3 linked regions of the Oryzias latipes genome follow. The protein of the gene in region 2 purifies or fractionates together with the protein of the main gene of each other region. This does not show direct contact. Links are inferred from orthologs where the notes say so. Each region holds a gene or a part of one and is shown on either strand. Other genes may lie near its edges.

Region 1 (4,197 bases), on a different chromosome or scaffold from region 2:
TATGGCAGTGGGAAATGCTGGAGAGTTCTTTGTCGATGTGATGTGACTGTAGCCTTCTGTTGGAGAAGAAAGTATTAGATTGGACTTTATCAAATAACAAGGCTGAGAAGGACAGCGTGACATTGTGGGAGTGGGAGATTAACAAGTTGGAAACTATGGCCTTGATTTCACTTTCCTTTATAGCAGTCCATTTTTTGCATGCCAAAAGAAAAACCTTCACCTCATTTGTGCTTCTGTTCTTAGTCATTTAGTTATAAGCGTCATACTTTCTTCAGTGAAGAAACAAAGCCTGGAACCAAAGCGCCTTTCACAGCCTCTGCTCCATGCGGGGAGACGTTTTGTGCAAGGACAACAAACAAGAGAACGGAGGGAGGCTTGGAAACGATCTGCTGGGGAAGAGGATGAAGTGCTTTAGCTTCCAGATGTTTTCTAATGTGTTCTGCTGTTTTCTATTTCTTCCAACCTCTCATCTGCCTTCCTGATCTGACACTACATGTCCTCATAGTGTACATCAGAAATGAGAAAAAGAGCCTTTTTCCTCCCTCTCTTGTTTGTGCACCTAAATTCTGACCTCAACCGAAGAAACTGAGCAGAAGTTTAAAAGAACTCAACCTGAGTCAGATCTTTGAATTGTTTAACACAAATGGAAAAAAAGTAGTGCAGGAGAATTTTTTTTTTTGCAGTAATGATGCATTTGTGTTATAATATTCATCATTTTCTAACCCTTAACCTCAGCGTTTAGCTCTATAGTCATTTTTACACAACACCTCAGCTGCTTTACCAGAAAATCATCAACCTGTTTTGTATAGTAGAAAATGTTTCTTATCAGACTTTTCACACTACTCTTTTACTGAGAAAGAAATGTCTTTTTTATTTATAAAGATAGTTTTATGATATATCTGTGTGTTTGTGTGGTGTTTTTGTGCGCACTAAAGAAACTGGTCAGATAAATTCCGTCATTCTGAGATATTTAAGGTCATGATTGCATTTCAAAGCAGTGAATTTAAGACTTCAGGTGAATAAACAAATGATATAATGAAGGTTGAACAAAAGCAGATTTAAAAACATTACACAGAAAAGTACGAATATATTATGAGTGAAAAACTTTTAACTTTTATAATCAACTATATAAATTTATATATTGCTCATTATTTGAGATCAATTTGTTTATAAATTGCAGGCGATTATTGACCAACAATTGTTTTTGACTTAAAATGGTCGAAATCAAAGTAAAAAAATATCTTTGGGTCTTTTTGGTGCGATTGATTGGGAACATTCCTCAAGGCTTGGCCTATCGCTTTATTTTATAAACTAGTTTGAAAATACACATTTCTAACTACATTGGATGAACAGCTCGTGTAGTTTCTCAACTGCTAGGCAGGCCTGGGCGCGGTTAACACCCAGCCATCGTACTGGCCGCGCCTTTTCTTCCTGTCAGCGGAACAGGCGTGCGTAAGGACGGCGAGTCAGCTGACAGTTATCGGGGGACCGGGGCAGCGGGTGTGTGAGCAGAGATTCTGCTCTGCAGACGTTATATTTAAGACCAGGCGGGAAGGGAAAAACTCCTGGTGTTGGTGAGAGGACCAAGGTAAGTTGACAAATTTGTCGTTGTATCCGGAACGAAACGATTAGCTAGAACCCAGTGACTCGCGAAAAGCAGGTCAGCGCTTTCCCCTCTATGCTAACGTTAGCAGCTATTTGCCTAGCTAACGTCAAGCTAGCAGGAGTTAGCCACACGATAACAGAAATGAAGTAATTTCCATTTTGTGGAAACGCTGAAACTGCCGCGTGTGCATGAGATGTTTAAAACACATTTGTCGAACGAGCGACATTGATTGTTTTAACAAACACGTAACCGTTTTGTGTAGAAAACCTGTCAAGTCGCAGAATTGTAGTACTTGTGACCGGATATTCCGTTTGAAAATTCGCCATGCACGACGGTATTTCACTGGAAGCCATCGCCTGCTAACCCGCTATCGCTAGCTAAATTAGCTTAAATTAGCAGTCTGCTTTTACCGAAGAACAAACACTCGGCTGTGTTGCGTCCACGTAACTGTTTAAACAAAACGTTACTGGTAAACTTGGCCCTTGCTTTTCTACAAACATTTGAAATGTATGACTGTATGAAAATGGCCCCAGTGAGTGAGCAGACATCTTGACTTCGCCAGAAAAAAGAGGCGATTAAATCTCTTCAGGTTTTGTGCGGATGGTTAAGTCACGACTTAGCGGTGTTTAAGCGGAAAACATGCTGCTAATCCTGCAGCTAACGTGTCAAGTCTCCCATAGTGTCGGTTTTTCGATGTTTGGATTTTCTGCTCGAGGAATTTGAAATGTCCTTCATGGTTTCCAGAAGGTTCATTCTTATCATCAAGGAGAGAAAAAAGGAGGGACAGAGAGAAATTCCTGTCTCCAGCAGCCCTTAAGTTACTTTTTGTATTTTTTTAAACCTTAAACTGCTACTTCTGTTTTTTTTTTTTTTTTTTTTTTTTTTTTTTATCTAAATTAAATTGATGAGCATTTGTATTCGGCTAAGTGACACATCAAAGACCCACTCCAATTAAAATTGTGTTTTTAACATGTTCTTGACTTGTGGCACTTTTCTGATTATAGAGGACGTACATTAAGAAAATTGAGCTTAAAATTGTGTTTGAGTATTTCTATATTCAAATTGCTGTGAATCAGGAGCAGACGAAAAAACTCCATTGGAAAATGCTCATAGCAGGGAAGTAGGTGCTGCAATCATTGGGCCACAAGCTCTGTACTCCGCTACATTTTGATGCATCCACTTGCAGACTAATAGATCCATCCATGCATGTCTGCATTTTCCTCGCCTGAACTGATATCTGGCTCAACACTGGACAGCTGGACAGCTCCAAAAGTGCTCGCCGTTTTTATTGCTCCAATAATTGGGTTGGAGGTGTGAATAGCTGTAAGCTAGCGGGAGGGCATTAAAACAGATGGATAGAGGCAACTTGGAAACAAACTACCCATAACAGCTCCTAATCTTCTTCTTCTATCTAATATGTCACTGGAGGAAAAGAACTGCCGTTTCATTAGTATGGAGATCCATTGCCTCATCAAGTCAGCGTGTTGGATATGTGTGTGCATCTTTTTGCTTCCTTCGAGTCCGAATGGAAGAAGTGCAGCTGCAGGAATTAGTCAGCTGGCAAAAGGGAAACGAGGATGAGAGAGAAAAGAGGATGTGAGGGACAAATGTGTCTCTGTGTCACCAGCGGTGACTCCCTCACTTTCACTTCTCCTGGCTAATTTTTAATCCTCCATGTCAGTAGTTTTCAGGTAGATACTCAATATGACTATGGATGGAGGCTTAAAACCAACTTTATATTCAAAAAGGATGCATTTTTCTTGTAAAATTACAACTTTGCTCTCATAATTTTACGACTTTGTTCTTGTAAATGTTGATTTTTTTTTTTTGTTGTACTTAATTTTTATTTACTTGTATGGGGCCTTAATATTTTGTTGTAGATATGTACCCCAAAAAGGTACTAGATTTAAATACATGTTTGTATTTTTCAATCATGCATATGAAGATCCCAGCAAAAATGATCACAACAAAAAATGAGATCTTTAACACAAGGTGAATATGTATAAGAAGTAAAACACATTGTGTGGTATTATTCTTTACTACACCAACAATTTTTTCTTCCTTTTTTGATACACAAATCACATTTCTTCATTTAATTTTTATTTTGTATAAATTTAGTGCTTTGTAAAAAAAACTATATTTATAAACTCTGTTTTAAAGATTTTATTGATTCATTGAAGATTTTCCATAAATAAAATATATTCTGAGAGTTACACCTTTGTGAGGGGGGGGGGGGGGGGGGGAAGCTTGGGGACCACTGCCTTCATGTCGTTCCTTTCTGTTTTTTGCCAGGTGGTGTTTGGTTTCATCATGGCAAGGTGTGTTTGAGAGGCAGCCACAATGATTGGAGGACTGTTTATCTACAACCACAAGGGGGAGGTCCTGATCTCCCGTGTCTACCGAGATGACATAGGGTATGTTTGACACGAACTAACCTTCTGTAAGTCTCCTCAAGTTGTGGAAGACTTCAGTTCAATGGAACTATCTGGATCCTGCGTTGGAGGGCTAGCTGGAGTTGATCTCCTCGATGAGAGGATTATGTCACCACATCCAGCTAAAATCATGTCTGCTTGTGCAAGGAAGCTGAGTTA
Region 2 (3,651 bases):
CTATGTCATTGTCAACAAGCACTAAAATAGAGTTTTCTTTATTCTAAACACCTAAACTATAAGCCAAGTCTAAAATGTACTTACTTCTTAATGCAGTTTGTCATTAGTAAATGAACATCTTGTCTTTCATCTAACAGCAGCATAGCTCCCAAATAGCCTATTCGTTTGTCTGTGAACTTCTGAGACGCAATTAACTTCAGACACTCCAGCTAAAAGACAAACAAACAAATGACAGAACATGTTCAGAAAACCCAGCGGTACCTAAAAAGCTGCCCCTCTCAGTTCCTCTGCTGCCTTTATCTTACACACCTGTCCAAAGTGTGCTGGGTAGCCCAACATATGCATATACAGCAGCTTTGCCACATTTCTGCAACGATACGTATTGTCTTCCTCTCTAAAAGAAGAGCGAATAGCAGCACACTCCTTCTGGATCATCTCGCGCTCCTCTGCCTGGGTCCGTGCTGTCCGGATGGTTCGGATCAGCTCCCGCAGTCTGATCGGAGCTGGCATGTTCTGCCAAACACACACAAAAAAAGATAAGAGGCACCTCATGGTTAAAGGCTAGATGACATAAGATGCAGGGCATTAGACAAATCCTCTTTTTATAGGTTTAATTTCAACATTTTTTGGCATAGATATGTATTGACCGCCAAATAAAAAAACAGTAAACATTACATTATTGTCTTAGAACATAGCTAAGGTCTAAATGGAACAGACTTCTGTCAACTTTAACTGTGACAAACCCAGTTCAAAATAAAGAGCATGGACAAGTTGCAATGTTTTTGAAGTAAACAAGTAATGGGTAATGTTTGTATTTATGATTCAGGTAAACTACTATGAAATGTTGGCGCACAACTGCAACAACACTTTTGGTTTCATACTAAGACATCCGGAGAACAGCAGCAGTGTTTAGTAAGAAGAAAGATAAGTTGGGCTGCAGAGTAAAGCAGCACGTCAGAAAAATAAATATCTTTTTACAATTTATTCTAAAGCACTAAAATAATATCATCAGAGATTAACATATCGAACTGCATTTGTCCATCTATACACATGTACAAAGCAGGGCTGTGTGATTCATAGATTTAATCAATTAATTCAAATGTGTTGTTTTAGACTATTTATTTAGGGGAACAACAAGATAAGGGAAAAGGGTGATTTTTCTGTAAATCTGCTCCCCTTTAGTAAATCTGTCCTTGTTTTCTAAGCAGGTCTGAATCTGACTTTACATTTGGTTCAGACTACAGGTGACTGACTAAAACCCCTCTTCTCATGGGGAGAGCAAGAAAACAGAAACAACTAATTTATGATTAAAAATAAAATATTTCATAAGCAGAGAGCAAAGATTGATTACAAAATCAATACAGGAAATCCTTAGGAAAAAAATGTTATTTTTATCTGATGTTTTCATTACGTTGTGACTTGCTCTCTGGTCACATTAAAGGTAATATCAATTTTCTTTTAAACAACACCTATAATTATTTTTTTTGCAAAATAATGGAATAATTTGGTTGATAGATTTTTTCATTATCTACCAGCCAACTTGTCTGATGAGTCAAAAATGAGATTTTGGTCACTGGGGTTGTAACTTCAAACTTGGAGCATCAAACACAGCTATATCCGTTTCAAGGCCGTTTCTACCAAAAATGCTCTGCCGAGTGCATTCTAGTGATGCACAAGCCAGCGGCAGCTCACAAAACATCTGCTGCATTGATCTGCAAACATTTTTACAGCTTTGTGTTTAGCTGAACTTTGTGTTAGAGCCAAATTCCAAAGGAGATTTTAAAATAAAAGTTTTTGTTAAATATCTCCCATCTGTCATTTTAGTTAAAGAACGTAAAAGCAGAGAAAATTTTTTCGATTAAAATAGAAAATTAAATTTGTAATGAAAAAAATCTTAGATTTTATTGCATTTTATTATCGCCCAGCTCTAGTTGCAAGTGACTTTTACTAGCAGAGGTCAGTGTTCACTTTTTCCAGTAGGTCATATGACATGACTAATGATTACTTTTGTCCTGCATAGTATGCATGTTTTTTTTTTCCTTTTGGTGCAAAAAGTCTTGTAAAAATACACCATCCCAATCGCAGGTAAGACTTTCAATATTTAGAAATTAAAAAGTGGTGACTACAGTATTGTTAGAAAACAAGAACCACAGAAATGTTCAAGTGAACAAGGAAGTAAAACAAGTTTAAAAAAGGGGGAAATTAAGGCAACATTTTAACATCATTGTGATGGTAATGAGGCAGCTATTGTTAAAAATCCAAAAAAGACTCAATTTACATAACACCTCAGGGGTTGACATAGCCCAAAAATTTGCACTGGCCCACAGGGCCAGTAGTTTTTGAAAGTTACTGGCCCGACACCGCGCACAGCGAGACCCGCCGCTCTGCAGGTGCTTGCAACTTTAGGGGGGTCCGGGGGCATCCCCCCCCCCGGAAAATTTTAATATGGTGCAATTTGGTGCATTCTGGTGACATCTAGCACTTATTTATACACTTTTCAATGACTAAAAATAGAGCATATTAAACTTAAATCTGCTCTAGTCTGTTTCAGATGTTTTGAAGAGAGCGCTGCAGTGAAGTAGTTAACACTAGTTAAGAAGTTTTCATGCTGCTTCTAATCACTGCTATTTCACATTTGTTCCTAATCAATAGTTAAGCAGTTTTATTGACTTTTTTGCTCTGACTGCCTTAAGGTTCTGCTTTTTGTTACTGTTGCAAAGTTACATTTACTTTTTAGTTACTTTAGTTAATTAAATTAAATAATTGAAAAACTAAATTAAATTACTGAGATCATTCAGCTAACTAGAAATACTTACTGCTTACAGTGTTGTAAAGAAAATCAAAATGAAGTACTTAGACATTATACTGCATTTGAGTCTGAGATTCAGGTATTTGGAGTTGCCTTTGATTCTTTGACATTCAGCTTAAAGCTTAGTGCATACAGTTTCATCTTCAATGCATTCATTAAATATCTTGCTGTTCATAGCACTAATTCCACCCGTCACTCCATCTAACATATTCCTATCTATTCCTGCCATGTCTTCCACATCTCTGACATGCTTCAGTCTCTCTTCAGTGACGGTGTTGGATTTATGATCATCGCGGTGAAAAACCACCAGGGGGCGCGCGCTGATATGTGTGTCAGTTTAAATATATCTGCATAAAATGTAATAATAACCCACTGGCTTGTTCCTTCGTTGTTGCTGTTTAACATTGTTTAGTATTGAATTGTTACATTCAATAAAGTTTGAAAAAAAAATTGAGTGAGCGCGTGCCGCGTGGTGCTCGGCAGTGACAGCCGCGCGCGCAGGCGGGAGAAGAGGAGAAGAGTGATAAAAGGTTTCCCATAGAAACCCTTGAAGTCTGAACACAGGACTAGCAGAAAAAGTGAATTATAAAGACGAGGTAAATCTACACGTTTTCGCAAAATATACTTTATTGAAAAGGGTGAAAAATGTATTAATTGTTAGATATTTTAGTGGCCCGAGCGGACAAGTAAAAAATAAAGTCTTGTGGTCCGTACTGCTCGAAAAACAGGACCGGGCCAGCGGACAAATGGCTATGTCGAGCCCTGCACCTTTAATCTATTTGATCTCTCAAACACTTTTACACAAGTCCAGTTGCAGGACAAATGGACTTGAAAAGGTTCAT
Region 3 (4,207 bases), on a different chromosome or scaffold from region 2:
AAGTAGAAAAGCACAAAACGCTGTCGGTTGGGGATAAAAGACAAGTCTGACAAGCCATGTTCGGAATAAAATATGTGGGATAGGAAAGCTTTGATTGGTATCATGTAAACCTATTTTTCATTAAAAAAAATAGCCAACGCAAAAAACTGTTAGATGACCAACCAGCTGACGAAGCTGGACAAAATTGTATTTTTGATTCCTAAACTTTTTTCAAACTCTTCAGGGAAGTCTTGGGCACGAATCATAGGTCAGTAGGGTTCATGTCTCTACTCGGAGACCAATTACAAAAGCTTTACTTCAAAATATCGGCGTGCAACTTTTCTGGAAATATTTTTACAACATCTTCATAAGTTTTAAAACTATTGTTCATTAGAATATGCTCACAAAGGAGGCAACAGGAATAATTCTACCTTTGCAACACATAAAGCATGCTACTTATGGAGTCCTGCAAATGCACTTAGTTTAGAATATGGCATATTTTTGTATAGATTGATTTCCTGTTTTGGCATCTTGACCCACACCAAAAAAAAAGAGCAAATTGAAAAAAAACATCACAAATAAAGGCTGCAAACATCATTGCATGGCCTGCAGGCAGTTCCCACGCTCGCCGTAGTGGCTGACCAGCTGCTACATGACCCTCACTCATCCCCTCTGCCTTTGCCACCGTGGTCAGCGCTGCGCGTGGCAAATTTACGAAAAAACACCTTTTTTAGAATGACGGCTTTTTTGTTAGTTTTATCTCCATAGCAACCATATAATTTTTGGGTCTGCCTGGGGGTGATGAACAGATCTGTGTTATATTTAAAAGAATCTGCGAAAGTAAACTTTTGGTTTTCCTTGGCAACTGAGTTTTTTTGTTTGTTTGTTTGTAAACCACGTCAACATTCCTAATTTGTTGATTTTGTATGTTACGTCGTTTCGTTCAGCCAAAAATTCTTGAATTAAATTTCTACATTTGTAAGCTCACTATGCTAATGCTGTTCAGAATCTACAAACTTTAAAATCAACTTTTTTGATTTTTCAAATGGCTTCCTAATGATGCTTGAGGAGTTAAGAATGAAAATAGGAAAATAGGAAAATTTCTAGGACTTTTTATTTTTAAAAGGTGATTTTTTTTAAAGAAAATTCAAGAAGGCGGCCTGTGCCACAGGTCAAAGGTCAACGAAACTTCGGTGGAGTTGCAGACTTAGGTTGTGTCCGAACTCCTTTACTACTCACTATATAGTTCACTATATAGTACGTTCACCATTTTGTAGTGTTGTCTGAATCTTCAATACAAAAATCAAGTGCTTTAGGAATTTCACAGAAGCCTCTGCGAAAAACCAGTGTGCATCGATGGTCACTAGATTGGTGAATATAGACAACAATGTGTTGCGTAGGAACAATTTTTGCCCAAAAAAATTGTATTTAAATGTATTTTTTTAATAAACCATCAACGTTTTTGTATTCATAAGACAGTGCATTCACAAAACGATCATTTCAATTATATTTTAACTTCGTGAAATCCATGACAACATATTCGCCATAAAAAAAGAAAAGAAAAGAAAAGAAAAGTAGTAAGCATGGTGTCCGAATTGCTTTTAAAATCCAGGGCACTACATAGTCCAGTACTATATAGTGTTTTAGTAGTTAGGGATTAGGGTGGGAATTCGGACAGAGCTGTAGTGGGGTGTGTGAAAATTTTTACTCATATTGTGCGATAATGGCCGCCAAGTCGTAGGTCTTGTGGCCATCCCACAATACTTTCAAAACTTCCTTTGGGTATCCCCCACAGGTGTGCTTTGTTAGTGGATATAGAAATATTTTTTGAGCCTCAAATAAGATTTTGGCCCCATTAGACACTTTCGCACACTGTCATCTCTTTTTTTTTTTGGTGGGGGGAAATGCTTTACTATGCCCATTAATTAATTTACATGCATTTACAAGGTGCAAGTAAATTTTAAGGAGATTATGAGCATGTGGCGGGGGCAACATTTTTGCTCCAAGGTGCAGTAAAAAGAAGAAGAGTCACGAAAACGATATGATCCCTGCAGTCCAGGACTGCTAAATCAGACTTTGAAGCAGACCAAAGCAGCTTCCTTTTATTTTGAGAACAATGGCTTTCACATTTCCCAGTTCCACTATGCAAAGCAGCCCTAAACTTGACACCTGCCCCCCACCCCCCACCCCACACACGCAGCAGCAAAACTGAAAACCTGCTGCGGGTCTCTGAGGAGGCAGGAGAAACGCTCCGACAGGATTGCATGTCACACAACTCCTTCATGATCTTGGCGTCAGACGCCCCCTTTAACACACTCGATCTTCTTTAAGCCTTTGCGAGGCTCCCACCCACACCCGCAGGCGCCCTGCAGATGCTGCGCCAGCTGCGCACCGAGTAGCAGCCGCTAAAAACCGGAAGTGGAAAGAAGCCGTGAATGAATAATGATCCCGACGCACGCGCGTCATTACATTTTAACGAATACATGAATGTTTAATGGCTGAGGAAAATGACCTGAAGTCGGTTCAAAAGTTGCTTCGATGTCATAAATAAATAGATAAAGACATAAATGTGCGTGTTGTCCGTTAAAACGAGAGTAATAACTTAACCCCCGGTGACGATCTTTACCTTTCCCTTCAGGTCCAACACAAAAATAGCTGAGGCGGACATCGTGCTCGAACCTGCAACTCTTCACTAATAAGCAAACAACTTTCAGCTTACGGTGGTTCCGTCTTCCCTTTCGCTATCAAACCCCAGAGAAAACCATAAGTGGGAGAGCAGTCCGCCGAGGCAGTTTTTTTTTCACCTCTGAGAATGTCGTGACGTGGTCACGCAGGTGAAACATTAACCTCACCTGAACGCGTGGACCCGAAGAGGCTGTGCTGAGCAACTTGACCACAAGAGGGCGCCACCGAAGCAGAGTTGGAAAATCAGGTCAACAACTCTGTTCAGGACGAATGTCATTCATACATTTAGACTTAACTATGCTCTTTATATGACACAATAGACCATTTATTGTTGGTCTGTACCAAAACACAAACATTTTACATGCATAACTGCAAAACTGGTTGGAGCTAAAGAAGTTCCCGTGGCTCTAGAGATGATACAATTGGAATCCTTCTACCAAACAAAGATTCCTGAAAAGAAACCCCATTTTCAATCTATTTTTCATTAATCTGGAAATGTGTATAAAATCCTTCAAATATATCAAAAGATATATAGGAAAAAATATACAAAAAGTTAACTAAAACGACATTTAAGATTTTTTTTTTGGGGGGGGGGGGGTGTTTGTTTGACACTTAAGCTTGTTATAAAGATATGTTTTGATTTTTGTTTTTTGATTTTTTGTTTAATTTAATTTTAGTTATCTTCTCTGCCTAATATAACCTTGAAAAAAAACTACGTTTGGGGCTTCTTTACAATTTCATCTTTTTTAATCTAAAAAATATGATAAATTTGCTCCCTTAAACTATTCGCCACAAATACACAAAAATATTTTTAGTACTCAAATAAACATTTTTTTTAGAATTTTTTTTGGAACAAATTAGAATTTTGTGGATATAAAATAGTATATAATGCAGGCATATTTGTTTTTTGTGTACCCTAATTTGCAATTGGTGGGTACAAATGAGTATTTTTTCAGTGAACAAATTCATATTTTGTATCATATAGGCACAAATTATTATTTTCAGCGCACATATTAGCATTTTGCCAACACAAATTTAGATTTTGTGAACACAAATTAGCATTTTCTGTTCACAAATTAACATTTTGTATCCATTTTGTGCACATAAATGAGCATTTTGTGTGCACAAATTAGCAAAGCATGCATGCAATTACTTGAAAAAAAAATAGTTTTACGCCACGCCAAGTATCAGGAATAAACGCTCACTTTGGGTAATCTAAAGCATTAAAGGATAAGTTAATAAAAAGTCTTTTTTAATCAATGTAAAATATTGCTGAATTAATCAAATAAAAAGCTAATATTAGAAATACCAGGAAATGGCTTTCCGAGTATATGAAGACTACAGCCCTGAGGTGGTGGAACAGAGGAAAGTTTATAAAACTGTGATGTCGGACATGTATCAGAAAGGCTTGCGGCCCTCTCTGCTTTACCCAGCACGGTTACGCATCATCAAAACGGATGGCACCCGTGTCATGTTCAACTCTGTGGATGAGGCTAAAAAGTTTGTGGAAGACTTTGGACGAGATTAAACTGTCTACTTCAGG

The links.
Region 1: the proteins of ap1g1 (region 2) and ap2m1 purify together in Homo sapiens (affinity purification with mass spectrometry; 3 studies listed by BioGRID and IntAct, counting the BioPlex papers as one, with this or other methods). This does not show direct contact. The link is inferred for Oryzias latipes from reciprocal best matches to the Homo sapiens genes AP1G1 and AP2M1.
Region 3: the proteins of ap1g1 (region 2) and ap1m2 purify together in Homo sapiens (affinity purification with mass spectrometry; 4 studies listed by BioGRID and IntAct, counting the BioPlex papers as one, with this or other methods). This does not show direct contact. The link is inferred for Oryzias latipes from reciprocal best matches to the Homo sapiens genes AP1G1 and AP1M2.

Annotation. Positions count from the first base shown.
Region 1 is NC_019875.2:21,533,966-21,538,162, forward strand, and holds the start of ap2m1 (AP-2 complex subunit mu), read left to right. Parts: upstream 1-1,373; 5' UTR 1,374-1,588; intron 1,589-3,898; 5' UTR 3,899-3,946; coding exon 3,947-4,020; intron 4,021-4,197. Other genes in the region: dvl3 (segment polarity protein dishevelled homolog DVL-3), read left to right, coding at 1-46.
Region 2 is NC_019861.2:21,112,428-21,116,078, forward strand, and holds part of ap1g1 (AP-1 complex subunit gamma-1), read right to left. Parts: intron 514-3,651; 5' UTR 511-513; coding exon 310-510; intron 210-309; coding exon 85-209; intron 1-84. UniProt on the Homo sapiens protein: Subunit of clathrin-associated adaptor protein complex 1 that plays a role in protein sorting in the late-Golgi/trans-Golgi network (TGN) and/or endosomes.
Region 3 is NC_019859.2:10,449,787-10,453,993, forward strand, and holds the start of ap1m2 (AP-1 complex subunit mu-2), read right to left. Parts: upstream 2,804-4,207; 5' UTR 2,648-2,803; coding exon 2,606-2,647; intron 1-2,605. UniProt on the Homo sapiens protein: Subunit of clathrin-associated adaptor protein complex 1 that plays a role in protein sorting in the trans-Golgi network (TGN) and endosomes.